Schizosaccharomyces pombe: one gene and its partners. The protein of the gene in region 3 purifies or fractionates together with the protein of the main gene of each other region. This does not show direct contact. Each region holds a gene or a part of one and is shown on either strand. Other genes may lie near its edges.

Region 1 (7,280 bases), 890 kb from region 3:
AGTACCAGCGCCAGTACCAGTCCCATTTGAAGTTGCAGCAGAAGTGCCATTCCGAGTCGAATTCGAAGTGGACTGATTCGAGGTATTAGTTGTGGCAGTCGGACGGGGAGTAGTACGAGTAGTACGTGCAGTTGTGGTTGTAGGTGTACTAGTAGTGCGATTGGCTGTAGTAGATGAGTGATTTCCGGCGGGAGCCCTAATTTTAGACGGGGCCACCTTCAATACGAGATTTCCCAAAACGGAAAGATTAGTGGTGGAAGATTTTTTCAATGGTCGAGTAAGCGACACTTCGCGATTTGATCGAAAACTACCAACTTCACGCATACGAAAGGATACTAAGCCAAGGAAGCCTTGATCTTTCTTTTTGAACTTTTTCTGATCAAAAAGGCGTATGGATATAACGCTAGATGGCTTAACAGTTCTAGAATTTAGTTAGTATAACGGAACAAAGAAAAGGGCAAAATCAACATATTGAAAAAAAAAAAAGAAAAAGATGCAGTAGTAATAAAAGATTTGCAAAAAGGATAGGATATGATAATATACAAATGATGTTGTTATTAGAAAATTGTTAAAAAAATTTCGTTATGGAGCCACAAAAACTATCCGACCATCAAAGAAATGCTTAGACTCCGAACTAACGTGAATACTAAGAGTATAAACATATCTATCCAAATCTAAGAACATCCAAGGTCCAATCTCTACCATCTCTTTTTTTTTTATTTTCAATTGATCATGTTATCCGCCGCATTTGTCATGTGCTTACACTTCAAATCCTTCATTCCAATAAGGGTTCACCGATTTTTTAATAACTTTCGTTGTATGAGTTTGCTCGCCATCTACCGTTAAAATAGCAAAGGGATCGGGCTGTCGAAAAAGATCCCGTTTACTTAATCCATCAGCAGCTACTATGTAGAACCGGACTCTTTTCGCTCCTTGTTCCATGTTCTTAACATATAATTACTTGGATTCCTCTAAGCGGAGAGGTGAAAGTCGCGAAACTTCACGAAACCTTCAATATGTAAGCGATTGTGGTAAATGGTAAAAGCGGATACGTATACCACAAAAGGTTTCAATATTGAAGCGGGGGTTCCGAGCCAGTAGGAAGGTGGGGGAGTTTGGTGGTAGTATGAAGAACGCTGTAGTTCACTACGCAACGATATTCTTGTTTTGCTAGGGAAATGCGTTTAAAGATACTAAGCGTTCGCTGGCTAAACAGCAACTTTATATGTAATTTAAAAAGGCAAAGAGAGTGTTGAGGAAATCGACCAATTTATCTTTTTCGTTGTAGAAGTAGTAAACCGATATACGATCTAAATTGGCTCTTTTTATAAATCGACAGACGAATGCTCGAATGCTCGAATGCTCTCTGGAATATCCTAGTGTAAATACCTGTTGGTTGGCTAAATAGTGGATCAATAGGTGTAACTCGCAAGTTCAGCGAATATCCGCTCAGCTAATATTTGGCAAATCGAAAGAGTAAACAAAGGTCATCGAATCTGAGTGGCACAGCGTAGAAACGACTGACTTGATTATCCTTGTTACTTTTATTTATCGCTTCCCTATACGAGTTGGGTAAAAGGCAGGAAGGAAATTATTTGTACTGGAATCCGGAATATGCCGCAGGTAGCTAAAAGAAATTGACTCGACATGTACAATATATGAACATAAAAATCGACTATGTAAAAACTACTTAATTAGATATACACCAAGCTTTTTTTGTTAAATGTCATTTTACATCATGATGACTAAAAATTAATTTCCTCACAATTATTACATATAAAAATGAACTTGTAGACTTAGAAAAGAAAGTCATACATTTTCTATATAAAATCATTAAACAGAATCAAGAAATTTATTAGAAATATAAGAAGATCCTCAGCATTAAACTCTCCAAAGGAGAAGAGAAGAACGTTAATGTGTTTCACTATATTAAACACAAAATGTAATGGTGAACACAGAGAAGTATCTCCTCATTACAAAAATATATATATAATGAAATTATACATTGGTAGGTGTTTAGTTTTATTAATCAAGAAAGGAAGGAGATGACTGTAATATGTGATACGGTGTATAGAGTAGCTTCCTTTTCTGACCCCTTTTCTAATCAAGCGGATCAAGATTATGACGAGAAATTAAGCTGAGCAAATAAATTTTCAAAAACAAAAAAAAGAAAATTTTGAAGATTATGAACGTGCATCAGAAGCATAAAAACGACAATATACAACAAAATTTTATGAAGCTGGCATTGTAAACACAAAAATGCAATCAACTAGTCCATACCCAAGAGGAATTGAAGGGTCGGTGAATTACATTATGTCAGCATATATGTTTTAATATAGTGAATGGGATCATGACTTTAAAGGAAACCCGTGTAATCCAACACAAAAGAATAAACAAGGAATATAAACATTTAACGAATGAGTTGAAAGAAATACTAGTTAATTTCCAACATACTGTTAAATGTCATTTCTAATCTTTTCCCACCTAACTGTTATTGGTGACGATTTGAATGCTCATAATTCATTTTTCACTTTTTCAAGTCATCAAAGCGATTACCTAATACGGAGCGAAACCACGGGCTCTTCCACGATATCCTCCTCTGCCACGACCCCGTCCACGTCCACGTCCGCGACCACGACCACGGCTCATACCAGGAACGTTTGTCCGCTTGGGTGTAACCTACATTTCAAGTTAGAATGCATGTTGCTGGTAGTTACTGTGATTGTTTTACATACCTTTAAAGGTCGTTCATGCAACATCGATCCATTTAATAAAAGAGCATTAGGCACTAAGCTTGGTTCACTGAACTCGATGTATGCAAATCTACGAAACTAGGTTAGCTGTACATTCCAACGTCATCCACAAGTTCGATTCATACCCTTTTGGATGTCCCGTAAACTTGTCACACAAAATGGTAACGCGATTAACAGATCCACAACTAGCAAAATGACTTTGCAACTCCTCTGGAGTAACACTGTAATCAACATTTCCAACATAGACACTTTGAGCATCAATGGATTCCTTATCGTTTCTCAAAGCTTCCGTTTCATTATCTAGTTGTTCTTGCATGGCACGAAGCTTTGCAGCCTCTGCTTCCATTTCAGCAACTCGCTCTTTCATTTCCAATAGTTCCTAATCATGTAAGCAAATAATTCCACCATACTACACAGTCTGAATTCCTACCTTTTCTTGGGTATCTAAGGCATCTTGATCACTCATTTTTTCAAATTTTCTGCTACACGCGTGTGGTTGGAAGTAAACTGTTCAACCAGTATTCTTTAGCATGTTGAGGGTGACAAAAGTTTCCCTCTATGCTCTCAGAGTAGCGACGCTTTGTTTCGCGCAAATTTACAATAGCGTATGGCACGATTAGAGACGGAAAAACCGATTTCTGAATGAAACAGCACAATATGGTGTAATATTTTCGTATTCGTTAATACGTACAATATGTGTTTAACGAGGATTTGGACTGCCTGCTTATAGTTCGGATGCTTGGTTAAGATGAGAGTGCTCACAAGTAAGTAAGGTGAGGTTTGTGGACATTTTTGTATGGCGTGTTTGGTTTTATTGTATTGCTAAAATCACAATTCATAAGAAAGCGATCTTTAAAAAACAATTAAGGAGATTGACGGGATATGCCGTTAAATGTTTAGTTTTTGGACGTAACGAATACCTAAGTTGCTTGAAGAGCTCTCCCACTTGAAGTGAAATAAGTGGAATCCTAAAGAAATACGATAAGACGTGATAAAGTATGGCATAATGTAGTTCTTTCATGGAACTTCGAACTCAATTATTACACACTCTTCACCATTGATATACGTATCCAGGGTTGGTATTATCTTCATTAGCTCGATAGCCAAGGGTGATGAATTACAAAAATATAGAAAAGGGATATTTTTGAATGGAAGTCTATTTAAAATAACTTCCTGTTTTTTAATTGATTTCTTTAATAATATTCCGTATTTTTATATAAATTAATTTATTTTTTCTGATTTTTACCATTATTTCTTTTTTTACTTTATTTTGTAGTTTTTTGTGTTTTTTTTTTTTTGTTCAGCAACCCATCTAACGTAATGCTATCGTTTATATTAATTGTTTTTTTCTTCTTCTTTTGTTTCTACGCTTTAAATGTAAAAAGAGTCCAAGTCTAAATAAACCAATTTTTTTTTTTTTTTGCCTGGGGATACTAATAATTTAATAAAATGGAAATTTCCCAACAATGTTTATCTATCAACCACAGCAAGCCGTTCCCAGCTTAACTAATACTAGAATAAAACAAATAATAATAAAGCATCAAGTAACGGTATATTTCGTTTCATATGCGAATTGTAGAACCAATACTACAGATACTTCACTATTTATTTATCCGGTAGCAGTCTACCATTGATTACCTTCTAGACACCGTTGACGATTCACATACCGAAGCGGAGAAAATTAATAAATCAGAGTTTTAACTCAAAGGAAGCTTCTATGATCCCTTCCAATCTCGTACTTCTATTCAAGGGCCTATATATCTCTTGATATTTAATTGCTATGGCAGCTTCCTTAAACCAAGCAACATAATGATCAAACAAAAAGCAAATTGTTAGGCAATTTTAAGATCATTTCATTAAAATGTACGAAATAATTAGTTCATATTCGAGGCTTATATCTTTCTCATTATCGAACATTTTCCATCGTTCATCTATCTACTTTGCTATTCTAGTTAACAGTGGTTACTTGTGCATCTAAAACGATCGGTGAAACGAAGATAGAAACGAGAAAAGAATTCAATAAGATGAGAAAAAATAATTAAAACAATTAGTAAAAATGAAAATAGATTGTAGACGATAGCATATGTGTCTATAAATTAGTATATACGACTTGTTCTATTTTATATTTATTTATTTATCACGCACAAGTTTAAGGAGAAATAATGCACTACACAGTCACGTTATCATAGAATAAGGAAGAAGAAGTCAGAACGGGATAAATTGATCACGAATCTTCCTTACCAACTCATCTACTATCTCGACATAATTGTGCTATATTCCACTAAATTTCGTTAAATTCTCTATCGCAATCAAAGGAACATCAGCACTAAAAAGAACTCCTCAGGGGGGGCGGATAACTTTACCCTCTACCAACAACAACCAACCAAGGTTCTGTTTTCTGCTACATTTCTGGGTTCAACATGAGAAAATTTGCTTAACAAAATATTAATACACACACGATCTAAGTGAATTGCTACGAAATTCTAATTCTCCCAAAGTATTCAACGCGAAACCACTGTTTTCATACCCGCCATCCTCTTCGAACAGCCAGGCCGACTTTTCTTCCCTCTACTAGGTTATTTCGTTGCCGAAGTATTCCGCCAATCTCTTTTTGAAACCTGTTTCTTGTACAGGTGTTGGCTTTCTAGAGATTGAGTGTTTACTGGAATTTGTTTTTGTTTTCTTACTATCTTTCCTCTTCTTCCCCAGGTGTGTACTGTGAAGAACAAATAGAGTATATATATATTTCTGTATTTATATTCATATCTATATTATTTGTTCAACTTTCAAAGAACGACCTGTTTGAGTCTATTAAAGGAGAATTTAAGAAAACTGTGAATTTTAGGTATCATTCGACCGACATTAAGTTATCATCTGCTCGACCTCTCAAACTTTGATTAAAGAAGAAAAGTTCGGAATCGAAAGTGTGTGTGATTATGAAGCTGCTTCAAAAGAAAGGTTATAAAGTTGAGCGCCCTCTGAATAAGGGATCGTATGGCACTGTAGTATTAGCCCATCGTCTTTTTCGGACTCCCCGTTGCAAGGATTTGAAGTATGCCATTAAGTGCATCAAAAAACCTGCTTATACCTTTTTGCAAGAAGTCAATATCTTGCGCCAGCTATCGCGGTCTCGACACCGCAACATCATTCATTTCGTTGAATCTTTTGAAGACAATGTATACTATTATGTCGTGCTCGAATATTGCCCTCTTGGTGATTTATACGAGTGCATCTTGAATAATGATTTTCCAAATGCAAAGAACCAACCTGAAATGATTAAGAATATTTTTCTTCAAATCATTGATGGTGTTGCACATTTGCATTCTCATGGTATCTACCATCGTGACTTAAAGCCAGAAAACTTTCTTCTTTCTCTTTCAGAAGATGGATCTGAGCTTGTGGTCAAGATCAGTGATTTTGGACTTGCTTGCAGGGACAAAATATCTTATGACTTTGGAACTGGCAGTGACCGTTACATGGCTCCTGAACAGTTTGAGGAAGTTGATGGTGCTGGTTACAGCCCTCGTGCAGCGGATATATGGGCTCTTGGTATTTGCCTTTTAAACTTAATTTTTGCACGTAATCCTTTTACCTATCCACACGAAAAGGATCCTATATTTGCTGATTACATGTTGGACGCAATGACCTTATTTGACGTTTTCCCTACGTTGAGTCAAGATACATATAACGTCTTGCGAGCATGCCTTTGTGTGAGTCCAGAGAAACGTTCTCTCGCCAAAACGAGGGAAGCCGTACTCGCGGTTACCAAGTGGACGACAGATGATGAGGAATTGGAAAGCTTCGTTAATGAAGAAGAAGAATTTCGCGCATCCGATTTCATGCCTGCTGAGGACAACGTTCGTTGTACTCAATCAGATCGCGAACCGTTACGTACTCCATCTGTTTTGACACCCGCTAACACCATACAGCGTGGTCTTCTTCCTTCAAAGTTGCCAGCTTTGTCTGACGTTGATGAGAACATTTCAACCTCGTCGTCTCCTCGGAGCCCTGCATCTTTGGCTCCAGTCAACAATAGCGAACGTTCCTATGATTCTGGACTTGGTGAAAGTCTCAATAATATGCATATTGGAAAATCCATTGCAACAGCAGTACCCGTTAATACGAAACGTTCTCCCTATTCTTGCAGTGCACCAGCTATCGTATTTCCTAACAGTATTAAAGGAAACAAGGATCATCTTAAATTTGGCCGCAGTTGGTGTGATATGGATGAAGAAGATGAGGAAGACATTGTTAGCTTCGGCTCTAACGATGACTTTGGTGCTTCTGACGAACTTTCGTCTAAGCACATTGGACTTGCTGACGACTGGAATGTTCTATCCCAGTGGAATGATAACTCATAAACGATAACTTGTTTTTTGCGCTTTCTTTCCAAGCTTGGTAAGAGCTACGTTTAAAGTAGTAAATTGCATTACTTGTCCTTTGGAATCTGTATGTTAATTGAGGGTCATATATATGCTTACGTTTTTCTTTTTTTTTTTTACATATGAAAATACCTTCTATATACGC
Region 2 (7,798 bases), 170 kb from region 3:
ATGTATATCTATTAGTAGCAGCGCTTGTTTTCTGTAATAGAATATATTTGGGCTGGTCAAATGCGGTTAATTATCATCACACAGATGAGATTTATGGGCAAATTTAGTTATAAAATTAGATAAGACAACAAAGAGAGAAGAAAGGTTTATTTCGGTGCTTTTGTTTCTTACTTTCAGAAGAATCTTTCTCTTGGGCATTATCTGGATGTCTTACTGCCCACAGAACAAACAAACTGTCATTGAATGGCTGAGTTCTTGTTTCAATATCTAATATCGCTATACAATAGCTCTCAAAGTAATGCACCACTACTACAACTTAAGTTCTTCACTTTTTGAGTAAGGATGCAAACTATGAGACCGGGTTTTTTTAGCTCAAATGTCGCTGAAAAGCGTTTTCTTTATAGTTTTATCATGAATGATCTCATATATTGATAAGTAGCAATCGTGTCTTTCCATGTCGAAGCCTCAAAACATTATATCCATATAATGCAAAACCATTTATTCCACCACTTCTAATGAAATTTATAAGTTGGTAAAATGTCCGTATTTCAAATTGCTTCTCCACAATATCTTCCATTTATGAGCAAACGATATTACCTCTATATTGTCAAGTTAAAATGTTTACATTGATATATTATATTAAACTATAACATAACTATATTACCTTATAAGGCGATTTCTGCTGGATGCAGTTAGTGAACAAGAATTATCTGAGGATAGACCTCTAATTGCAGTCAGAGATTTACTACAGATGATTATACAAGAAAAATTTAGATATATTTTTTAAGCGATGTAATTTATTGATAGTGACATGAAAGTAAGCCAACCCTCGAAACCCAAATTTACCACCATTATGCTCTTGCTCTATCAATTAAACACAAAATTAACGACACGCTTTTCATCCTTATCTTTTTATAATTGCATTGTGAAATAAACTATCATTATTCTATTTAACGCAATGATAAACTTCGCAATCAGGCTTTACGTTATGGCTTTGCTTCCGTGAATTGTTCCCTACGCGAATCCTGCTGAATCCACTAAAAGATCCAATGCAGCTTAGCTAGCGAACATTAGCGCAGCGATCAACTGACATAAGATATCTGGGTATGCCGACGCTTCTCTTTTCCATATCACAAAAATGAGTTGGCATGGATTCAAAAAGGCCGTTAACCGAGCGGGTACCTCGGTATGTATTTGAGTGTTGAAGAATTGTCTAACATTGTGGTAGGTTATGATGAAGACGGGTCATGTTGAGCGAACGGTGGATCGGGAATTTGAAACAGAGGAAAGACGTTATAGAACTATGGAATCAGCTGCAAAGAAGCTTCAAAAAGAAGCCAAAGGTTATCTCGATGCTTTGAGAGCCATGACTGCGTCTCAAACTAGAATCGCTAACACAATCGATGCATTTTACGGTGATGCTGGATCGAAGGATGGTGTCAGTGCATACTATCGACAAGTCGTCGAAGACTTGGACGCCGATACCGTAAAAGAGTTGGACGGTCCTTTCCGGACAACGGTGTTGGATCCCATCTCAAGGTTCTGCAGTTACTTTCCCGATATTAATGCCGCTATCACGAAGCGTAATCACAAATTACTTGATCATGATGCTATGAGGGCTAAGGTTCAAAAACTGGTCGACAAGCCTTCCAACGACACTACTAAGCTTCCCCGTACCGAGAAAGAAGCAGCCATGGCGAAGGAGGTCTACGAGACACTCAATAATCAACTGGTCAGTGAGCTTCCGCAACTAATTGCTCTTCGTGTGCCTTATTTGGACCCTAGCTTTGAAGCCCTTGTCAAAATTCAGCTCCGCTTTTGTAGGGAGGGATATGAGAAAATGGCTCAAGTTCAGCAATACTTTGACAACTCTGTACGCGAAGACTATTCCAATGGTTTGTTGGATGATAAAGTTGAACAAGTTTTACAGAGTATGCGGGATCTTTCCATCGCCGGTTTGAACAACAGTCAGTAGACATCGGTTTTTTAAACACGATTGTATGTGTGCATAGCGCTATCACTCTGTTTTCTCTTTCCTTTTCTCCTCCGAAATAATTGTTACTACACGTAACCATGATCTCTTATCCCTCAATACTTTTTGTTTAACATATCCTTTCTCTTTTACTACTTTATTACCATCTTATCTTGTTTATCTGAAGTGGTTCACGGAATGTTTTCAATTTATTCAATTTTTTGTGATACATAAATATTTTCCATACTTATCTATCCTCGAGTATTTTCTATTGGTGTTACTGGAATTGAAGGGAAAGCCAGCACATATTTATTAAAGACTCAACTGTGAAGCTTCTACATCCTTTCAGTTTCGTAACGTTTCCTTTATAATTTTTTAATTGGGAATAGTTATCAAATTATCAGATAAACAAATTGGTTTTCCAATATTGTCTGTCGACCCAGCGATTCATCTACTAAACTGTGCTTATTTTCTATCTCGTACCAAGTTTTGTTCTAATAAATAACTATTGTTAAGTAAGTTTAGACCAAATCTTAAAATATAATAATTAGAAAAAAAAATGCTTTTGTTGACTTACGAATTATTAATTTGAATTGTAATTTATTAATTTTCCAAACAATAGCTATCTTGTAAGCTGTAAGTCAAGTTGGAAGTGGGTTTATTTCTATCTGTGCAGCGTTCGATGTTTGATTTTCGAACATGGACTTAAGCGTTCAATTTTACAATAGCTGTGAATGTAGATTATCGCTACTTTAAAATCTAAAATATAGTATGGAGCTACAACTGCTAGTAACGTCTATACAGGAAATGATATTAACCAAAAATCTTTCTGACTAAGAACATAAATTTAGTAATCTAATTCTGGAACCTCCTGGTTAGGCGCATCCAAATCTTGATAAGTTCTATAGAATTCCCGTCTGTGGATCATGGGTTCTTGCCTCGAATAAGATTTTTGTGATGATGCTCCAGAAGTTATCTCCTCGTCATTTCGTCGACTATAGCTTGTTGTTGGAAATGTATAGTTTGCGTTAATATTTCTGAAACCAACGTAGGGCTTGTTTAAAATCTGTAAGGATACATACGACGTGCTTACCACTTTGGGATCCATAGCCCTACATGGGTCAAGCACATATCCATAGAGACATATAGCCACCTTTTTAATGTGATCCAACCAATCCTTATGCTTTTTATTTATATGCTTTCTGACAAACTCAGGTCCTAAGAAAAGCTTCGCGCATGTTCCGACATGACACCTATATTTTTGTTCATCTTCTTTCATAATAACAGAGTCCAATTCGTTATTAATAAAATCTTCAACGGGTAATGCCCCTTTTGCTTTAATATCCACATTTTCAGGCTCAAGAAGGCAAGCAAAATTGTTTTCCAAATCTGACAACCAAATATTTTCTTCTTGACCGACTTCTTTGGATGGATTAAACTTTTTCCGCGAGTAACCTGCAGGACTATCCTGCAGTAAAGCAATTAAACTTTCGTACTCTTTACTAGTCCAGAAATCAAAAGTAGCCACTTGGCGAAGATACTCGGCGTACAGATCACTTAAACGAATGTCATGAAAATTCGTCGGCTTATCATCGTCATCTTTCATAGATGCATGTGTTTTCAATCGATCTTCGATACGTTGTGCAGCATCATTTGGTAAACTATACTTCGTACTAGCCCGATCTATAAAACGGATTAGTTTTTCTAGCAAATTTTTACATGTCTGCTCAGAAGAAGCGATTTCAAAAATAGGTATGGGATGCGTGTGAGTAGGAATTTTTGGATTTTCAGATTCAATAGTAAAATTTGAATCCAATTGAATCCCATCCACCGCTTCTTTAGCTCCATCCATATTTGTTCCTGCTTTGAAATGAACCCAAAGTGAGCGTTCATCATTCTTGATTAAATTAATAGTAGAAAGGGAAAAATGTTGTACGAACGAAATACCATCGAGTGCATTATGAATTTGCGCAACCGAGATGTTGGGCAAAACATGACTGACCAATAGTGTATTTTCCATTGCATCGTTTCGAGAGTCTTGGTTCCATTTGGAAAGTTGCGGGTCGTTAGAAGGAAGAATTGAGTCATCTGTATCATTATCAGGTATTGACGGCTTTTCGATTACATCCTCAGCGGTTGGAAGCTGAAAATCATCATAATAACCGGCGTCTAATCTGTCCATGAATTTATCGTATAACGCCCGGCGATAAGATTTCTCATTTTCAGACACTTCAAGGACTCTTCCTTGTGACTCGTCCACCCAATAGCTGTCTTCAAACCAAGCTTCGTCACAATGGCTCTCAACAAAACTTCTTGCGGTCCTAGCGTATAGATCCTGTTTATAATTGTTGTAAGTTCCATGAAGCGAGTTGTATAAGTCTTCAGTTGTTGCGGATATATGGTTTTCCTTGCTATACCACCGAATAAACCGTTCATAAGAAACCGCATTTGTTTGAGTATATGGATCAATTAAACTAGTCTCCTTGTTAGAAAACTTTGGTTTTTCACTCACATCGAGTAGAGTATTTATTTAGTCGTAACTTACGGTTTAGTAAATGTAGGGTAAGGTCCAGAAGCTAGACGTATTGTAGTTAATAGGTCAATTCATAGAATTTTATATTTATTCTTACCTCTTGTTCTATCATCATAGTAATTACCACGCTTTCGTAGAGGAGACCGTTCTCGATGATACGCAGACTGTTCACCAGGGGGGCTCTGTGAACGTCTTTGACTCCGTTCTATGCAAAAAAAGGATGAGTATTTCTATCAAACTAAACATTAACAACTTACCAGGAGAGCGTTCTCTTTTCCAACGACTGTACTCTACTTCACTTTCTTGATGGACCTCACTCATATTTTGACACTGTTCCCCTTCTATAAATACCAGCAATCGGGATTAATTTATTAAAAAACTAATGATTTCAATTGGGTCAAAATTGGTACTCAACCTGCTTAGTTGAAGAATGTTCTTACGAGAGAGAAATATCCATACAGCACTTTATGCTGGTACACTAAGTTTCATTATTCAAAATATAGAAAATTGTCAAATACTTTATTATACGCATCAGTATATCTAAATAAACTGAGATTATAAAAGCAAATGATTAAACAAAAAAGTGAGACTTCGAATTTTATGCGAATGCTATTGAACAATTAATACTAAACATTGTCTCATTATCGTCAATAAATACAATGTTGGATTACTTAAAAAACTGTGCTTACAAAGAGCTTAGAAGCACTCTCACAAAAGTAAACAATAACATCTGTTTTCAAATCACTGAAGATCTAATTTCCATTGTATAAACGGTCAAGAAAGGTACAACTTGCATACCAATAGTAACTTTGGTAGCATAGAGTAAGATTTCTTTTACTTTTGTTCTCTGCTTCAGATATTGAAGCGTAAGTTATCTCATTTCTTGTGCAACAAAAAAAAAGTAGCTTTTGCACGTCCTCTAAAAGATATGCCTCAGACAAAAAATTTAAAAAAAAAAACAACCAAATAAATAATAACATGAAAAATGAATTAAGCACGTTTGCTTTAAGAGATTTATTCGAGCTCAACACCGGGCCAACCTTGGAGATCACTTAACTGGGCTCGTATATAACTAGTGTTTGCTCCAGGATAGGACTGAGAGGCAAGATCAGTACTTTGGAATCCAATCAAAAATACTTTGCGAAGCATTTCCCAAAGTTCCTCATTTGATTCGCAGCTCTCCATTGAGGTAGAACTGTTTTGTATAATATCAATTGCAGCAAGTAGATGTTTTGCAGCATCTTCAAAGTATCCTAAATTGATGTTGGAAACAGCCATGTTTGAGCGAACTCGAACATACTGGGGCTGTAGAGATACTGCCCGATTATAGGAAGAAACAGCTTCAGTATTTTTTTCTGCATTTGTTAAAGCAGCACCAAGCTTATTCCACAATATTTCGTTACTTGGTTCGTCTTGAAGAGCTTGCCGAAAACAATCTGCAGAACGCTCATACTCCTTCAACATATACATAATTATTCCTAATCCAGCTTGTACCTTGGAGGAACGCTTCTTAGCAAGTGATAACTCATAAGCTACATCCAAGAAATACATCTGCATTTTCAAGAGATCGTTAGCAGAATCTTTCTCTTCAAACCTTTCGTTTATCTTTGCAAACCTGTTTCGGTATTGGGGAAAACTGTTGACTATCCAGTCTTCTAAGCAAACCAATGCCTGAACATTTAGAGACTGATTAACATAAGACACAGCAAGATCCATCATTAAGTCAAGATTGGTTGAATCCAATTTGACAGCTTCAAGTAGGGCTTCAACAACCCGCGATTCGTTTCCCAATAGAGTATGAATGCGACCTAACCATTTCCAGGCCTCGAAGTGCTGTGGATTCTCTTTCACAGATTGTTCCAATAACACAGCTGCTTTCGAGATAGATCCTCCATTTTTTATTAAATTCATGGCTTCAACAAATGGATCTATTCCGTTTAGCTCTTTCACAACCTCTGAAGATTCATCTTGGTTCTGTGAATATACATCTTCCGTTTGTAAAGAGTTTTCAACAACGTTATCAGTATCGCTATGCTGGAAAATTTGAGGATCTATGTTTTTATTATGAGCTAAATTATCATTAGCAAAGCTATTCACAGACGAAGTGTAAGGATCGTCAGAAATATTGTTTGACTTTAAAAAATCTTCCCATTGTTTCTGGTATTCCTCTAAACTTGCGGGCTCTAGCCCGGCGTTTTTCAATTGCTTTTGATGCTCTTCCCATAGCTCCTCAATTGATTTACTTCCAGTAGCATCCTTTTCCTTCTCTAATTTATTGGAGATTTGAGAAGCTTCCTCAAATTTCTTAGCCAACTCAGTTTCGTCAATAGCTAAAGAACTTTGTAAGGGTATTTCAGTATTTGAAGATAAATTTAGTCCAGCGGAACCAAAAAAAGATTGTTTTAAAGGTTGGTTTAAGTTTCGAAAACGGTCGTTTTCAGATGAATTGAGAAATACTTCAGAGAATTCTGATGTCCAAGCCGACTTACTATTCTGCTGCTGAAGAGAAGAAAAAGAATGTACCCAATTTTCTTTCGAGCCTCCACGAGTAGTTGTGCCGGTATGATTTCCAGTTTTTAAGCTAACTGGGTTCTTAACTACATTACCTAAAGGACTATTGTTTCCTTGGAGATTTTTGAAAGATGTGAATTGATCCTCAGACAGCGTTTGCAAAGGAGCGTAAGTACGACTTTGAGACTTGGTTAAATGTTTTCGATATTGAGCTGAAGGTGTTGAATTATTGACAACAGCTGTGGAAGTCAATTTCTTAAGAGGATTAGATAGCGTTGAACATCCTGCTTCAACAGACATTTTTGAAGAAAGTAGACTATAGCCAATATAAAGGCTCTCGACCAAAAGGAAATAGTTTTTTAAGTAGGTTGTAAGAAAATTAATATCAAAGAATGAAAAATTTCGCAACTTGATTGAATTTGCGATGTGTTTTAAAAACCAAAAATATGAAAACAAAAAAGCGGAAGAAGTAACGATGCAACTAACCAAAAAACAAAAATTGATCGCACCAATGATTGTTACAAAACTTGCGTATAAACTCAGGCATGTATTGCTGCTTATTACCAATTACAAAAATATTTAGATGAGTGCGCTCAGTTCATGTAGATGCTGAGCGTAGCACGTTAGATTAATCGCTTCTGTAATACACCACATTAACCCATATCAATTTATAATAAAGACTTTCTCTTTATTTTTTCAGACTAATCTATTGCCACTAAGGAATTTAGATTTCAACATTTTATTATACTTTTGTAAACCATGCTGCATATGTTAAAACCATA
Region 3 (7,886 bases):
CAAAGGAGGAATTAACATTTTTCTAGTCCTAGGCCGTTCAAATAGATATCCACAATTTGAAGAACAATTAAACAACATTATCTTTTCCAATTTCAATATTTGAATGAAATTTGCTCATAAATGTGCTTTCCTTTGTGGTTGAATGAGAAAATAATGACAAGACTATAAAATCATGTGCGATTTAAAAGACGAAAATAAAAAAAAAGTCGACAATACGAACGATTATTAAAAATCGTTTTACATCCTTAAAGTATTGTTTATCATCATTAGAAGCATAATCCGAAAGATACCATGGTCTACGATATATGTGCTCTTTGTAAATTTTGATGTTTATACTTTTTTTTGATGTGGGTCAGGTTTGTGACTGGGAATTTGGAGTAAGCTGCGCTCATGCTTCTTAGCGATAATTAGCATAGTTTAATGCTTTTTTAATGAATAATTTATATAGATGTTAGGTTTTAAAACGCAGATTTCTTATTCATATGGAATTCTACTAATTTCTTATGTAGCACACGGAGTATAATATATTTTGCTAATCAATAAGTTAACCGCCAACCTGAAATATTAGAATACTCATCTACTTTGAGCTGTTCCAGGTTACAATTGTACAAGTAGTATCAACCCATCCCTAGTATTTACATAAGTGTTTCCGTACAAACGGTGGGTTACTTACAATAAGATCATTAAAATAATTAATTCTCCTGATTATGGTTCTAAGGTTACTTGGATTTTTGAAAACTCTACTATCAAGTTATGTAAATTAAAAATAGTAAAGCCGGTACTTAATAAAAGTATACATTCTTGCCATTTTTTGGACAGCAATTCGGCTATGTATATTTGATCCTTGGTAGAATCCTTTCGTGTTTTTACTAAGATATACGAAAATATAAGTAGACGAGGATCTCTTACTACCTTTCTAATTGCTAATGTGCTAAGTCAGCCCCAGTTATCACAATCGTACAATGTCAACAATTCACCGGGACGTTACTTATGCAATAACCTAGTTGTAAGGATATTCTCACCGGTAAATCCCAACCCGAAATCAGCACTGAAAAAGAAATCTCTTTGAAACCTCAGTAAAAAAGCATCTCTTTTTACATTGAAAATAAGCTTACTTTGTTGTTTTATTATACTAAATCTGTCTTAGCATAGCGATATAAAACATAATGTTCGCATCGATTTTACTAATTAAGTTAGTGCAAAACCTGTCAATGTTATAAATTGCTCACAGTCGCTTTTCTCCAATTTAGTACTGTAATCCCTCAACTACACACTACTAGAAATTTAATATCCTAAGAAATAACAATGTCTCAAATACTAGCTATGCTCCCAGATAGTTTAGTTGCCAAATGGAATGTTGTGGTCAGTGTAGCGGCGCTTTTCAATACCGTTCAATCGTTTTTGACTCCAAAGTTGACTAAGCGTGTATATAGCAACACTAACGAAGGTAAGAATCATGGTTTTTACGAGTTTAATTGATTTATAATACACATAATAAGCTCTTTAATGATGCTTTTTTTTATTAGCTGATTATTTTTTGCTGACTTTATATCTGTAGTCAATGGATTACAAGGTCGTACTTTTGGCATCTGGACATTACTAAGTGCCATAGTGCGTTTTTATTGCGCATATCATATAACAAATCCAGAGTATGTTGAATCAAATCAAACATTCAATTTCCAAAATCATCTGATATTGTCTAACTTCTATTAGTGTGTATTTTCTATGCCAATGCACATATTATTTAGCCTGCTTTCATTTCCTATCTGAATGGCTTTTGTTCCGTACTACTAACTTGGGACCAGGATTGTTGAGTCCAATTGTGGTATCGACCGTTAGCATTTGGTTTATGGCGAAAGAAAAAGCCTCGATTTTGGGGATCGCTGCTTAACCTTTTTTTACTCCCCCATTTTACGTATACTATATTGCTTGGAGAGAAGAGAAGAAAAAGAATCAACATAAATCCATCATTTTTATGCCTTCGGGCTTTAATGCAATGGTTCTATTTCTAAACCATTCTTCAAATTTTTAGTTTAGATTCTAGAATGTTGATGATTTTAAAAAAATTAAGGAAAAGCATGGTGTCTTGTTTTTCGATTTCTTTGCCCAAAGACATAGTAGGGACTAAAAACCAATAGTAATATAACCACTTCAACTTCAATTTGCAACATTGTTAGTTCAAACTTAACCAGAACTTACAAAATCATAGCAAATATCGGAATTAAAAACAAATGTTAACAAAAAAAAGTATTTAACTTTAGTTTCAATTAGGCAATAGAACTGCAGTACGGTCATTCATAAACCGGAACATCTCAATTACAAGATAACCATAAATTAAATGTCATCAGCCATCCAGGACATCTTGTCACGATTTTCAGCCAATATAACTGTGTCACCGGGATTGAAGGCAGGCATTCCTATATACGGGCATCCACTACAACGAAAAGCGTCGCCAAGATAGCAATTTCCGCAACTTGAGACGGCATTTTTACTCTTGAGCTTCTCGGTGAAATCAACTTCGGTGGTGTCTGTAAGTTTTACAGCTTCTAACTGTGCGGATGTCTTGGAAGACTCGTGTTCTTCCATTTCACGTAATCCACAGGTACAGTTCTTGCAAGCACGCTTTTTCTTTCCAGGTTCAGGTTTGCACTCGGGCACTTTTAAAACATTATCGTGGGCACTTTCGTCTAACAACTCATCTTCATCGATGAGTTCTTGATCATCATCACCACTAATAAGGTTTTCCTTGTCAGATTTTAAGAAATCAAGAATTTTGTTTTTGCTCGCTGATTGACCATTTTTGTTTGATAATTTAATGGGAACTGCTTCCACCTGATTGGGACGAGATAAAATCCAAGGACTCTTTGATTCAATAAGCCATCCAGATAGCAAAGCTGTCATTTCAAATGACTCGTCTGCTTCATCGGCAGTAGAATAAACACGAAGTGTTCCTCCAGGATGTACTGATGCAAAGGCTTGTGAAAGTATAGGTCCTAGAGTTGAAGACCATGCACCATCATCAATGGCAGCAATAACTGAATCATATCGATTGATGGGTAAATTAACAAGTTGAGATTGGACGCGATCTATCATTTGCAACTCTCTAGAAGCACCATTATCGATAAGGTCAAAAACTTTTTTCAAAGACTCCTCTTTTGAAGCAAAGCCGGGAGACGTCAAAACAAGGACAGAAGATGACATATTGAGAGAAGATATTAACAGCTTAAACAAAAGCAAAAAAAGTAATTAAAATTATTATATTATTACACGTTTCAGCGAAATGAAACCCTTAGCAATTGGTAAGTAAACCCACCAACGAATACAAAAAACACTATCAATAATAAAAATAAAAACGAAATCTAGATCGTTGTAACGTATGTACAGACAATTAGAAAAAAGTCAAAAACTGTCTTCCTTTTACCGGTCTGAAAGTGGTAAAATTTTTCTTTTAATCAACGGATAAACAAAAAAGTTATCTGTAGATATAATATGAAAATTTCCACGCCTTAACGTTATGAAATGATCAATTATAGAGAAATAATACTCAAACAATAAAAAAAAGGAATGATTAGTATTTTGTTCTTGTTAAATTCTATTTACCACAAGTGGCGACGCTGTAAATTTAACCTGTTGATTGGTAATCCGTCAGCATGTCTTAAAATGAATAGAATCCAATCATGTGGCACTGTAAGGCATATAGCTAAAACAATATTGTGGTTTTCTTATATATCGTTATTTATGCTTATGAAGTACTGCGCATTTCGGTAAGTCATTGATTTCTACTTTGTTCATACTGATCGAACAAGTCAACGGAATCACCGGCTAATCGACTGAAATGTCGGGTCAAGTGAAAACTTGTGTTGTACTTTTGGCTGCACGCAACTATTTCCAGCTTTGAGAACCATTTTTTTGGTAATTTACATTTAATAGTCAAATATTTTTAGCCCTGTGTTTTTTCGAGAAATTTGATATTCGTATTTTGCCGTGGGTGTCATATACAAATTACATATCGACTGTATAAGATAATAATGATAACTTTATGTAAGACTAGAGGGTTTTTTACTTCAAAAAGAAGGATTTATTAAATGCAATACTATCAAATGATGAAGGCGTTACGAATGTTAAAAAAACCGAAGCCAGGTTGTTTGGGTATTGAAATTCAGAGTGTTCCTATTCCCCAACCAAAGAATGGAGAGTTGCTTGTAAAAATTGAAGCTGCTGCCATCAACCCCAGTGATCTAATGAACGCAACAGGGGGTTTCCCGTATACTGTTTATCCTCGAATCGTTGGGCGAGATTATGCTGGTACTGTAATTAGTGGCGCATCTCATTTAGTAGGAACTCGAGTGTTTGGAACGAGCGGTAGCGAACTATCATTCACTAAAGACGGTACTCATGCTGAATACTGCATAATACCGGAAAAAGCAGCTGTTCGTATGCCAAGCAATTTGTCGTTTACTGAGGCAGCATCAGTCGGTGTCCCTTTTACAACCGCTTATTTGGCTTTAAGCAGAGGAGAAACCAAAGGCAGCGATATAGTACTAGTGGTTGGAGCCTTAGGTGCTGTCGGGTCGGCTGTTTGTCAAATAGCAGAGGATTGGGGATGTAAGGTAATCACAGTGTCTAGGAGCGGCTCAACCGATATCAATACAGTGGTGGATCCGGAATTAAAAAGGGTCCACGAATTGGTTGAGAAAGTTGATGTGGTAATCGATACGGTGGGCGATCCTTTGTTGATGAAATCGGCTCTCAATCAATTGGGAATAGGGGGAAGGTTGTCTTATATTTCCGCACCTAAGCAAGGGAGTATAGAATTTTCGTATGACATGAAACAAATATATCGCAAAAATCTGAAGATTATTGGGTGCAATTCTCTCTTACTTTCGTTAGTGGAATCAAACTCACTATTAAAGAATATGGTCGCCAAGTTTGAAGCAGGGAAATATAAGGTATTAAACAAGAAAATTGCTGAAACATCTCTTACTGATGAATGTATAAATTCATATAGAAAACTTATGAATGAATGTTCTACAAAGTTTGTGATTACTATGAGCACAAATTAAGCGTCCGAAATACAGACTTACCAAATTGTTTTTTCTGTATAATCAGTAAATTTTAAAAGAACTATAAATATTTGCTTTGATCTTTCATATCGTTTATTATTATTATTATTATAAAGAGGTATCTATTCGTTAATGAAAAAAACAATTTTGAGCTACGCTTTAAAGAAGGATTATTTAAATTAAGTAAAAAGGATTTCATTATAATTAAAGCAATATTGTTTTAATACTGATAATTTAAGATAGTTTTTTTTAAAATATCGTTATAAAGCGTCGGTAATTACATTGATGCTACTCCGACATTGTTGGTGCCACCGACTACGCTACTCTAATCTGTCGACTTAGAAATACCTTACCACATCTAATTACTGTAAGAATTTATTTCAAGGACTTTTTCATAGTTTTTTTGTTTTTGTAACGACGTTTTCAAAAAGGTCATTGTCAAACATATAAGCTCTTGCCTGTCGTTAAAAAAAGTAAAGACCTTGGTTAATCGTTGTCGTTCAATTATTTGGGCATTTAACTTAAACAGTTTTGTTTAAGGAAAGGTTCTCAAAGACTTTTTTTTAAAAGATTCACTTATAGAACGAAAGACCATTAAAGTGGAAAACCACTCATTTTAAAACATTGAGCAAACAAGAGCTTTTGCATAATATATCAAGTGGTGGTTTAAAACAGGAAATACTTGGACGATTCAAGTTCAATAAAAGACATTAAAGCTGTTGGTTTATTTTACAAAAAAAAACATCCGTTCGTTATATTTATTTATTAGTTCTAGGCGGCATTCACAATGAACGAGCAACAATTGCTGGAAAATATTGCTTCATTAGCTGGTACGTTTTGATTAAATTGTATTAACGTCTTTTGATTGTCTGTTATACAGAATAAATTTGGTCGACTTTGAAGTTGGATTGGTTTAACTAATGAGCTTTTTGGTTTTTGAAACCAATGAATAATTAGGATTTTCAAGGAGACAGATTTTATGCAAAAAAATATCTTTATGTTTCTTTATTTATGAAACGCTCAGTAATAATATAACTAACCTTTAGGTGCTATCAATCAATATAAAAATGAAAAAGGTAAGATGCCCATTTATGAGGAACTTTGACTCATGATTTTAGCAGAACCTACCCAGGTTTTAGATGCCGCTAAAGCAAATAAGAATACTCGTTCGTATCCCTATTCTGTTTCTAGGAACTATTCTTTTATCCTCAATAAATCCAATCGCTCGAAATCGACAGCTGCTAGCCCTCCATATGTGATACCGTCAACATCATCGAATGCAGACGATGCCAATAAGGAACCTGAAAAACAATCCACATCTGACTATGTATCACGGAAAAACAGACATATGCAACTGATTAAAAAAAATATTCTTGAACATGATTTGCAAGCGAGAAAAGCTAATTTGGAGAGCTACAGAGCCAAGCTTGAGAAAGAATACAAAACTTTAGCCGAAAATAAAATCCAGCAAAGATTATCCGATGGTACTAAACAATTAGTAACTATTGACGGACTGCAGTATATTACCGGTGTATCTGATACCAAGTGGTTGGAATTTGTTAGTGCTAAGGGACAATGTCCAAAATATTTATATTGGAATAATAAGTCTTATCTTCTTAAAAAGAAGAGGTTTCTCAAGGAGGTTGGAAATTCACCTTCAGCTGTTTATTGCCGTTATTATAATGCTAATGGAATTTGTGGGAAGGGAGCAGCATGCAGATTCGTGCATGAGCCCACCCGCAAAACGATATGTCCGAAATTTTTGAATGGTCGATGTAATAAAGCAGAAGATTGTAATTTGTCACATGAATTAGATCCCAGACGAATTCCTGCATGCCGGTATTTTCTATTAGGAAAATGCAATAACCCAAATTGTCGATATGTGCACATTCATTACTCTGAAAATGCCCCTATATGTTTTGAATTTGCCAAGTACGGTTTCTGTGAGTTAGGGACGTCTTGCAAAAATCAACATATTCTTCAGTGTACCGATTATGCTATGTTTGGTTCGTGTAATAATCCACAATGCTCTCTCTATCATGGTGCTGTTTCCGCTGATGTACCAGAACAAACAGAAGCTCCAATATCGAAGACTGCTGGTTCTATAAATCCAGAAGACTCTGGATCGGAAATTGGAAGTAATTCCTTAGAAAGCAACTTGGATTTTATATCCGTTTAGATAATTCGTTTAGCAGTTTGATCTTGTAGAATTAAATTATCGTGTAGTTACGCAATGTCTAAACTTTTGATGATAATGAGTTATAATTTTCTATTAATTGAATACAATAAATTTTTAAAAAATATCATAAGATTTAGAAAGAAAATAGAAAAAGATTTCAACTAGTTGATAAAGAATATTATTTTTTAAAGACTAAAACTAAGAGGCTAGGTAATTACAGCAACAAGAGTAAAATACATTAGATCCACATTTTTTACGATTATCAAAGAAAAAAGAACAAGATTGATGGATCTATCAAACGGAAAATTAAGGTTGCAGTTGAATACCGTCCGAAGCGCTCTTTGAAGCTTCTATAAATCGTCGAGCACTTTGAATGTTCATAAGGGTTACTGCTGATTCGATTTCTGGATCAGCAATGACCACCAATATGTATGTGTCCTCAGTATATGGAACAATGAATGCAGAGAAATTACCACCACGAAGCTCAAAAGTAGTAAATTGAGCTTGCATTTTGCTACAACTGAGTTTAAATTGCTTAACAATATTGCTAATTTTTTCGAACCTGTGAGCATCAGTGGCAGGATTGGACTCAGAAGAATAAGAAGAAATAACCAAAAATGTTGTTCTTTCAAATAATATTACCT
Region 4 (8,906 bases), on a different chromosome or scaffold from region 3:
AATTGGAGACGCTTTTCTTGGTTATGCTGGTCGTTTTTCTCCTTGGTTGGTGGCCGAGTTGCAAAAGCACCCCGACATTGCCCTTGTTGAACCTGACCGTGTTATGCATGTTATGACTGAACAAACTTTTGCACCTTGGGGTTTGGCTCGTGTATCTCATCGTAAAAAACTCGGTTTTTTTACCATGACTCGTTACCAATACAATGAGACTGCCGGTGAAGGTGTTACTGCATACGTTATCGATACTGGTATCAACATTGAGCACCAAGATTTTCAAGGCCGTGCCACTTGGGGTGCCACCATTCCCACTGGAGAAGGCGAAGTGGATGATCATGGTCATGGCACTCACGTTGCTGGTACCATTGCAGGAAAAACCTTTGGTGTATCTAAGAATGCCAAACTTGTTGCCGTTAAGGTAATGCGAGCCGATGGTACTGGTACCGTATCAGATATTATTAAAGGTATCGAGTTTGCCTTTAAGCAATCTAAGAAAGACAAGGAATCAATTGCAAGTGTCGTCAATATGTCCATCGGCGGTGATGCAAGTACTGCTCTTGATCTGGCTGTGAATGCCGCTATTGCCGGTGGACTTTTCTTTGCCGTTGCTGCTGGTAATGATGCAGAGGATGCTTGCGGTACCTCTCCAGCCAGAGTTTCCAATGCAATGACTGTTGGTGCTTCTACTTGGAACGATCAAATTGCTTCTTTTAGCAATATTGGATCTTGCGTTGATATCTTTGCTCCTGGTTCTTTAATTTTGTCTGATTGGATTGGATCTAACAGGGCTTCTATGATCCTTTCTGGTACTTCTATGGCTTCTCCTCATGTCGCCGGTTTGGCTGCTTATTTTATCTCTCTCGATCCTTCGCTGGCTAATCATCCTGTGGAGTTGAAGAAGTATATGCTGAAGTTTGCCCTAAAAGACTTATTAAATGGCATTCCTGAGGACACACCTAATGTCCTTGCCTTCAACAATTATGAGTAAACGCTAGTTATGTGTATGTAAATGTTAGCTTGATGACCTTGATTGTTTATTTTTTGATGCTCCGATACGAATGATCAATTAACCAAGTTGTTGAATATCTACTGTCATCAGACGAACAAGCTCAGAGTAATGACATTTGTTATGTTTAGCAATGAAATCATTTAAAACGATACCAATTTGTTCTTTTAGGACTGATTTTTTTTTGTAATGTCAGGTATAGTAGAATTTTATTTCATTTTCTTATCTACTACTTTTTGCACTATTGTTATCGTTCATTCGTACTAGTAGTAAATATGTAGTTTGACAAGTATGGTATATCACTTGGTAAAAAAAAATGCCTTCTGGATTCACCGTTATAATTTTGTCTTATACCGCTTATTAAAATTGATTCCCTTACCACCAACAATTCGTTTTACAGTTCAATTTGTATTGTTCCCCTATCCTCTCAGCTTGATGATTACAAATATTTGCTCAAAGTGGATGCTTTAATTTAAATTTTCATGGTAGTTCCTACTCCATTTTACGTTTTACGTGGTCATTCTAGCAGTGTCACTAGTGTACTTTTTGACGCTAATGAATACTTATATTCTGGTGATGAGGCAGGTTTTGTAATTTGTTGGTGTCTTACTAGTATGCGACCAAAATGCGCCTGGAGAGCTCATACAAAAACCATATTGGGCATGCAAATAGTCAAGGGAGGAGCCTTATGCACTCACGGTAGAGACTGTCGTCTCGTCACTTGGAAAATCGATTTTAATTGCATGACCGACAATTTTATGTCATTATCAAAACTAGCTGAACTTCAAAATTACGGTCCTGAAGCCTCTTCTGAAACTGAGAAGAGCAGCGCATTTATATCTATTCATTCCAATATCGTTGTTAATTCCCTAACCTTTTGCCCCTTCTCTTACTCTCCTCAATCTAAAATAGTAGTTTTATGCAATACATTGAACTTTGAAGAGCTTGATGTATATGATGATGAATCATTGTATCATCCTCAAACACACAAAGAGGATTGCGGAAAAAGACTACAGACGAGAATTCAGCCAGAAGAGTCTGTTGGTAAAACAGGATCAGTAATGTCAACCTCAGTAACCGTTACTGACGAGAAGTATGTACTATTAGCTGCCGGTTACGAAAGCGGTCATGTGGTTCAGTACATATGTTCATTAGAAAATGTAAAGACTGTTACCCTCGATTTTAAAGCTGTTTGGAAGATGGTTTACGCCTACAAAAGTCATTCTCAACCAGTTTTATCGGTAGAGTACGCTGGTTCCAAATTATTTTCAACGGGTGCTGATGACTGTATATGTCTGCATCCTACTCCTTCATCTATAGCTGATGATCTTGGTAGTCTGCCTCATCCTATATTTAGAAAGACAAAGCATTGTGGACAACAAAATATTCGTATACGAAGTGATAACAAGATATTAGCAACTGCAGGATGGGATGGTCGAGGTCGTGTTTACAGCTGCCAGACATTAGCTCCTTTAGCGGTTTTGAAATATCACTCCGATGGTATTAATAGTTTGGCCTTTCATCCAGGCAGCAACGTGATTGCGTTAGCTAGTAAAGACACCAGAATATCTCTCTGGAAGTTGTATTAGGGCAAAAGTTTAGGACATTACAGTTACGTTTAATCCATCATCATTTTCAAGAAATCATTTACTTTTGGTTTGCAGGATTCAATTCATTCTTATTACAATACGCGCATTTTTATCAATAACCATTGAAATGATTTTAAACGTATTACATATATTAAATATATTAAATATCAGACTAGTAAATGCTTAATCTTCCAGTATTTTGATATCGCCTCAAATAAGATGAGCGATTCATATGCAAGCATAGAAAGTACGAAAGACATAATTCTAACCTGAGCTATATTAAGTAGTGACATTAGTTTTATAACGGCAAAGAGCCATTGTTTATGTATAGTGATGTTTATAGTACAAGGACGTAATTTTGACGGTCAAAATTTTTACAGTTAGTTTGATGTTGCTTGGCAGTTTCAATCTAAATGGAAACCTTTGCAACAGGAATTGTCATTCTCTCCGACTTCCAAAGATTATGATATTCGACGATTCGAGTAGCAACATCGACGAAATCGGTGTTCTCATCGGTATTTTTCATGACTATATCTAAACCGGATTTATAAGACTCTTTCTCAATTTCATCATTTCCTTCGATGTACCTTGATAAATCTTGTATAATTTCATCATCTGTATAAAGGTTAGTCAAAAATCAACAGCACAAATACCATAACCCGTCATTTTAATGTCGCGAAAATGCGACGCCTCGCAATGGTCATCATTACAAACACCACCAGTGGTTTCGTATTTACAGAAAACTTTCATCGGCTCTATCTTATTGCTGTAGGTAAGCGACCGATATTTCAACGGTACTCGCTCAACAAATTGTTGATTAAATCGATAAGATTTAAAGCGGTAAAATGGAGAGATATAATCGACAAGCGGTACCTTATCCTCAAAATCTGTTTCCGTCGTCCCATTTGGCGCGTTTGACGTTTTGGAAGACAAAATCTGTGATGAGTTCTCATCTGCTTGGGCGGAAACCTCGGTTATTGAGTCCATACTTAAATCAGATTCTTTAGGTAAACATGCAACATTTCCTTTCCCTTGTTGTTCGAGTAACTGTTTTTTCCTAGTGTACAATTGTGTTAGAATCTCAGTTTTTGATTTCACCAAAGTTTGATATTTTGTTAGTTCTCCTTCCTCTTTTTCTATTAAGTTATTTAAAATGTCAATCTCGGATTTTTTAATCTGTGCGGGATGCTCTTCATGTACCACAGCAATTTGTTCCGTCTTTCTGAGCCAAGGTGCCTCTAATATCTGCTCAGTTGTATCAGAATTCGTAGTTGCAGCACTAGACGAGGCTCCTGACGAGCTAATAGAAGGTCCAGCCTCCACAAAATCGGCTTTGGAACTAAGATCAACGACTTTTTCAAAGGTATCCAAGTGTGTTTTAGATTTGTTGTCAACCGCAGCTACAGGGACAGATGGAAGTTTCATATCGGCGGCAGAAGTTGGCGATCTATACGGTTTTTTATTAGACTCAAGCCGTAAGATCAACTTTGTCATTCGCCGTATTTCCTCTTCTTTATTGCGAAGAAGCGCCAAGTAATCTGAACGAGACATAGTAAGACCATTTTCACTATTTGAGGGGGGCTTTTCTAAATTAGATTGTTCTATCTTCGAATTCGAAAAGTCATCTCCATCATCATCGGAATCAAATTCAATAACTACATTTGGAGTCGAGGAGCCAAAAGGCTTCGAAGAAGATAGCCAATCGTCCTGCTTCAAAAGTGGTAAAGATATAAGATTTTTTCTTTCAGGAAGGACGGTAGGTGTACCATTATCGCCAGGTAATATATGTGTGTCACTAAGATTACTGTCAATCTTACGAAGTTTAGCAGACCTAGCAGCTTTGTCTGCAGATAGTGTCAGACTTCCTTGGGAGCTAGCAGAAGAGGAATCCAGTCCGAGCTTTAAAAATAAAGTATGAACAACCGAAGGCTCGATGCCCTCAGCAATAAAATCGTTAAAGCGCACTCCTACTTCAAACAACTGACTCACAGCTTTCTCTGCTTCCTTTTGATTAGTAGTCTTGGAATAATTTGCATCAGAATTTTTAGATGTTGAAAGAAAAGGTGATTTTTCTGATTTTGCCTTTTCACTCTTTTGATAAGAAGTGTCGGATGATAAAGCCAATGGTCGGCTAGTAGCGGTATCTTTAAGAGCCCGGTTTTCTTTAAATGACTGGGAAGTATTAGAAGAATCCGATGTTTCAGAAGACTTCGCCTTATTTCGGTTGTTGAATGAATTCTCAGATGACCGTTTGCGCTTCGAAAAGGTTTTGTTTGAGGAGGCGGTTTGAGGAAAGAAAGGAACTGTATTTGGTCCAAACATCAAAGCTGGAGGAAGCATAAAAGGTGCGCCAAATGGAAAAAAATTCGCGTTAGTTCCAGGAAATCTAGTGTGTTAGTTAGATAAGACACCTGATGGGTTGAATGTATTCAAGTTCGAAAAAAAAAAAGGAAATTTTACAAATTGTCATTCTCGTAATCCCAAAGTTGGAGTTAAACCGTACAGAACAGCATAACTAGCGGAGAATAGCTCCGTAGAAAAGATAAATAAGCTGCACTGACAGGTTTAATCAAATGCCATGCTTACCTATCAAAAGGAGGCAACTGAGGAATTTGCTCAGGAAAGGTTGGTACTTTCATTGGCGGAACTAAACTGTTAAAAAAACGAATTCATTTAAACGGTGAGAAAATTGAAAAGATGGATATCAAAACATAATTTCCAAATACATATAAAAGGCTTCTGCCAGCTTTATTTTTCTCTCTTTAAAAAAAAAAAAGCCACGCATATAAATAGAGATATGAAATGTTCTAAACGAATGCAAGCAATCGTCGAGGAAAACTCAATAAAATGCGAACAAGCCTATAAAAACAAAAAGTCTCGTTTCACAATATATTTGTGTAAATTTCCATCTCTAATCTACCTTACCTGAATTTGATTGATCTATAACAGGATCGTCTTCGCTAATTTCGCCATCTTCTTTGTCAGAGTCATTACTCTCATCTTCTTCATTCTTCTTTTTTGATTCTAAAGCCTTTTTTCGCAACTCATCGAGATTTATTGACCGGGACATTTATTTACAGCTAAAACTGGGTTAGTAGTGCCAAATTTCAACAGCAGATGTTTTGTTTGTAGTACCAGTTAAGACAGTGAAACGCGAAAAACATTAAATATTATTGCACATAAAGTTTTTTCACCTCAGAGCATGTTATTCCCTAATAAAGATATTGATGGTTGAATACTTTCTTATTTGTTCTAATGAACTGTCTGAAATATGCACTAAGACTCTTTATTTACAAAACATTCGGAATTAGTCTATTGAACAGGTATACTGAATGTAGCAAATATATTTTCAAACAATTTTAAAAAGTAACACAAGAACAGCTAATATGTTCAGCCTTATTGGCTTGCTCATACGAAAAGTGTAGCGGTGATTCAAAGCTTTCGCATCCAATTATCTTTTGCTAGTTTACAGCACAAATTTACGCGAAGGTGAAATAACATTTTTGAGTTATCAAATTATAGCGGGAAATCTGCTTTTAATGGACTAGTCAGTAATTTAGTAGCGGCCGCCTTGTCTCATAAATAGAAACATAGAACATCTGGAGAAGTTCAAGAAAAATAGCGAAAATGAGAAAACTGTGTTTTAAACCTTTGTCCAATAATGATAATGTTTTCTACTAGCATATCCTTCTATGAGCACATGAGAAAAAGAAATATTCTTTCGCTCAGTTCGGTTTTAACGTTGGAACAGTCTTTGGCCTTTATTAAAAACTTGAAGTTCATAAACTAAAAACAACAAAAACATTGTGCTTTATGCAAATTTCGTGTGCAATAAAAGTTCGGGTATCCGTTTATGATGTTTTAGCACGAAAGCCGACTATTGACAGTAACACTGGTAATAGCTCTTTTTACTAAAAACCCTCATCGAAAAGGTAGTTCCGTATCTGATTACAAGGCCGATCGTGCAAAAATACTAAAGACCGAGGAATATGTAATCGTGCAGTTTTATAACATACTCTTCCGTTGCTTAAGTTATTAATCTGAATTTAGTCTGTTTAATCCGTTACATGAAAAATTTAGCCTTTCAGGAGCTTGAAGAAATGATTTAAGATCAAAACGCTTTCATGTAATCACCTAACAAAAATGCTAGATTTTGTTATTATTTATTATTGAAATTCCCCCATAAACCTCGAAATTTTAAGACCGGTCAAGTTATCATTTGAGGCTAACAGGCGGCCTTCAAGCATTTAAAACGAAAGACCGTATTCATAGATTATTTATTGGTAATCTCAATGAGGCTAGTACCTTTGATCTGTTACTACTTGCGAACATACTATTTGTCTCCAAATGTTTGCTGTAGTGTATGCTCGCGCTCCCTCAATCGTTCAGAAAGTTCAAAGCAATGCAATTTCAATTCAGAGTTTACTTTTTCCAATTTTCGAACTCGCTTTGTTTCTCTCATCAACTGCTCTTGAAAAACTGACCGCAGTGACTTTTCGGATTTTGCGTTCTTACCTGGCATAAACTCCTCACAAGGAATTTGTTTTTCTTCTAAGAAGATTTCCTTGTAAGCTTCAAGTTCTAAAATAACTTTTTCAAGATCTTCTTGCTTCATCTGAAGTTCATTTGCTAACATGCGTTTGGATTCGGCCAAATAAGTATACGCATTTTCCAATGAATCGTATACCATCCCCTCCTTGAAGTGCAGTTCAGGTACTACAGCATTATTCTGTAAGTCAATGTTCAATGACTCATCCTTTTGGACAACAATATTTCTCACGTCAACATTTTCTCCCAATAATTTTCTGTTTTTATCCATATCGCGCAGAGCTATGTCTGACATCTCTTTAAATACGGAAACTTTCTCACCAGATGGGGACTTAGTGATTGAGATTTTTGTGTTGTTGGAAATAGAAGATGAATCATTAAAGCTTTTGACTAATTTACTAACCCTTCCTGAGATAGAAGTATTATTTTCGCTTTCTTGCCCTAGTTGCTCAAAGTCTGAACAAGAAGGTGATCTGCAATCAGTATTTACACCGATAAGCTTATCTTCAAGTAACGACTGAAGAGTAATTTTATAATTCCTTAACTCGATTTCCTTCGTTTGGTATTCTTGATCCTTTTGTACAAACTTTTTTGTTATATAAGTCAGCTCATCAGAAAGTGTATGTTCATCAAGATCTTCAAGCTTTGTAGATGGATTAATTCCAGCTTGAGAGCATACGTTTTTGTAAACAATGAACAAAAGATTAAATATTGAAATTCCTTTTCGTACACTTTCGGAAATTTGGGATTCGGTAGCATTAGATGAATCACTTTTAGCGAACGATGGCTCGACAAGCTGTAAAAAAGAATAGAGGTGCTCTTTTTTATTAATAAATGATTGATAAGAGTTTAACAAACTGGCTAATTTGGATTCACTTAACTCCAATTGCTGCTTCAATATCTCATTCTCCTTATTCGCGGTTTCCAGGTGTGCTCTACCTTCAGAAAGTTTGGAGTTTACTGAATTTAACTCTGCATTCTTTTCAGAAATCTCACACTGTAAACTATTGTTAGTTTGACTTAAAGTCTCCAAACTGTCATGGAGCTTCTCAATAGTTAGCTCTTGATCCCTGATTTGGCTTTTTAAAAATGCAGAGCGCCCGATTTCATCGTCAAGATTTCCCTTAGTGTTTTTTAAATCCTTCTGTAATCCATCCCGTTCATCAGTCAAACTAAAGACCGTGTCAAATTGAGAGAGTTGCTCATCCTTTAGGCATTTCATTTCTTCATCAAGTCTCAAAACCTTACTTGATTCCACTTCAAGATTGTTCTTTAATTCATTAAGTTCTTCCATAAGATATTCATTTTTTCGAAATACATTCTCCATATCCTTTATTGACGACTGTATTTGTTCTTGATAAAGTAGATCCCTTTGTTCACTAACAGAAGACTGAAACTCCAATAAGCCTGCTTTTTCTCTAAGACTTTCGGAAAGTCTTGAAATTTTTAATTCTTTTGCTCGAAAATCATCATCATAATGACTAATTAATGCCTCCTTGTTGTTTAACTTTTGACGCGCTTCTTTCATCTCGGTTTCATAATTGGCGTTCATTTCTCTCAGATTTTTTTCATCATTTTTAACAGTTTCTAGAGCTTCTTGCAATGACTGATTTCTTTCTAGCAACGCTTTGATTTGATCCTGTAACTTCTCGGTTTCAAGTTTTAAATCCCTGTTTTGGGTTTGAATTTCATTAATAGAATTTTGAGCTATAGAAAGCTTTTCTTCATAACTGATAGTTTTATTTTCGGCTTGTTTCAAATTTGAC

What was found.
Region 1: the proteins of red5 (region 3) and pab2 purify together in Schizosaccharomyces pombe (affinity purification with mass spectrometry; 3 studies listed by BioGRID, with this or other methods). This does not show direct contact.
Region 2: the proteins of red5 (region 3) and pir2 purify together in Schizosaccharomyces pombe (affinity purification with mass spectrometry; 2 studies listed by BioGRID). This does not show direct contact.
Region 4: the proteins of red5 (region 3) and red1 purify together in Schizosaccharomyces pombe (affinity purification with mass spectrometry; 2 studies listed by BioGRID, with this or other methods). This does not show direct contact.

Annotation. Positions count from the first base shown.
Region 1 is NC_003423.3:1,937,538-1,944,817, forward strand, and holds pab2 (poly(A)-binding protein Pab2), read right to left. Parts: upstream 3,252-7,280; 5' UTR 3,220-3,251; coding exon 3,184-3,219; exon of another isoform or gene 3,133-3,183; coding exon 2,879-3,132; exon of another isoform or gene 2,824-2,878; coding exon 2,736-2,823; exon of another isoform or gene 2,680-2,735; coding exon 2,557-2,679; 3' UTR 1,834-2,556; downstream 1-1,833. Other genes in the region: HECT-type ubiquitin-protein ligase Pub3, read right to left, coding at 1-421, 764-942; serine/threonine protein kinase Ksp1, read left to right, coding at 5,690-7,114.
Region 2 is NC_003423.3:1,216,537-1,224,334, reverse strand, and holds pir2 (C2H2-type zinc finger domain-containing protein), read right to left. Parts: upstream 4,931-7,798; 5' UTR 4,827-4,930; coding exon 4,763-4,826; intron 4,711-4,762; coding exon 4,603-4,710; intron 4,549-4,602; coding exon 4,518-4,548; intron 4,447-4,517; coding exon 2,820-4,446; 3' UTR 2,745-2,819; downstream 1-2,744. Other genes in the region: BAR adaptor protein Hob3, read left to right, coding at 1,139-1,186, 1,229-1,975; peroxisomal targeting signal receptor Pex5, read right to left, coding at 5,520-7,316.
Region 3 is NC_003423.3:1,046,230-1,054,115, forward strand, and holds red5 (zinc finger CCCH domain-containing protein), read left to right. Parts: upstream 1-5,373; 5' UTR 5,374-5,850; coding exon 5,851-5,893; exon of another isoform or gene 5,894-5,967; intron 5,968-6,103; exon of another isoform or gene 6,104-6,109; coding exon 6,110-6,139; exon of another isoform or gene 6,140-6,184; coding exon 6,185-7,242; 3' UTR 7,243-7,386; downstream 7,387-7,886. Other genes in the region: Erg28 protein, read left to right, coding at 1,306-1,447, 1,559-1,649, 1,714-1,891; dre2 (anamorsin family protein), read right to left, coding at 2,335-3,201; SPOM_SPBC337.11 (peptidase), read left to right, coding at 4,086-5,063; Gtr1/RagA G protein Gtr1, read right to left, coding at 7,549-7,886.
Region 4 is NC_003424.3:5,068,211-5,077,116, forward strand, and holds red1 (protein Red1), read right to left. Parts: upstream 5,689-8,906; 5' UTR 5,663-5,688; coding exon 5,518-5,662; exon of another isoform or gene 5,240-5,517; coding exon 5,179-5,239; intron 4,979-5,178; coding exon 3,252-4,978; intron 3,208-3,251; coding exon 3,002-3,207; 3' UTR 2,721-3,001; downstream 1-2,720. Other genes in the region: serine protease Psp3, read left to right, coding at 1-985; ASTRA-associated protein 1 Asa1, read left to right, coding at 1,486-2,592; protein mcp3, read right to left, coding at 6,926-8,906. UniProt on the Schizosaccharomyces pombe protein: Promotes the exosome-mediated degradation of mRNAs containing a DSR (determinant of selective removal) signal sequence from mitotic cells.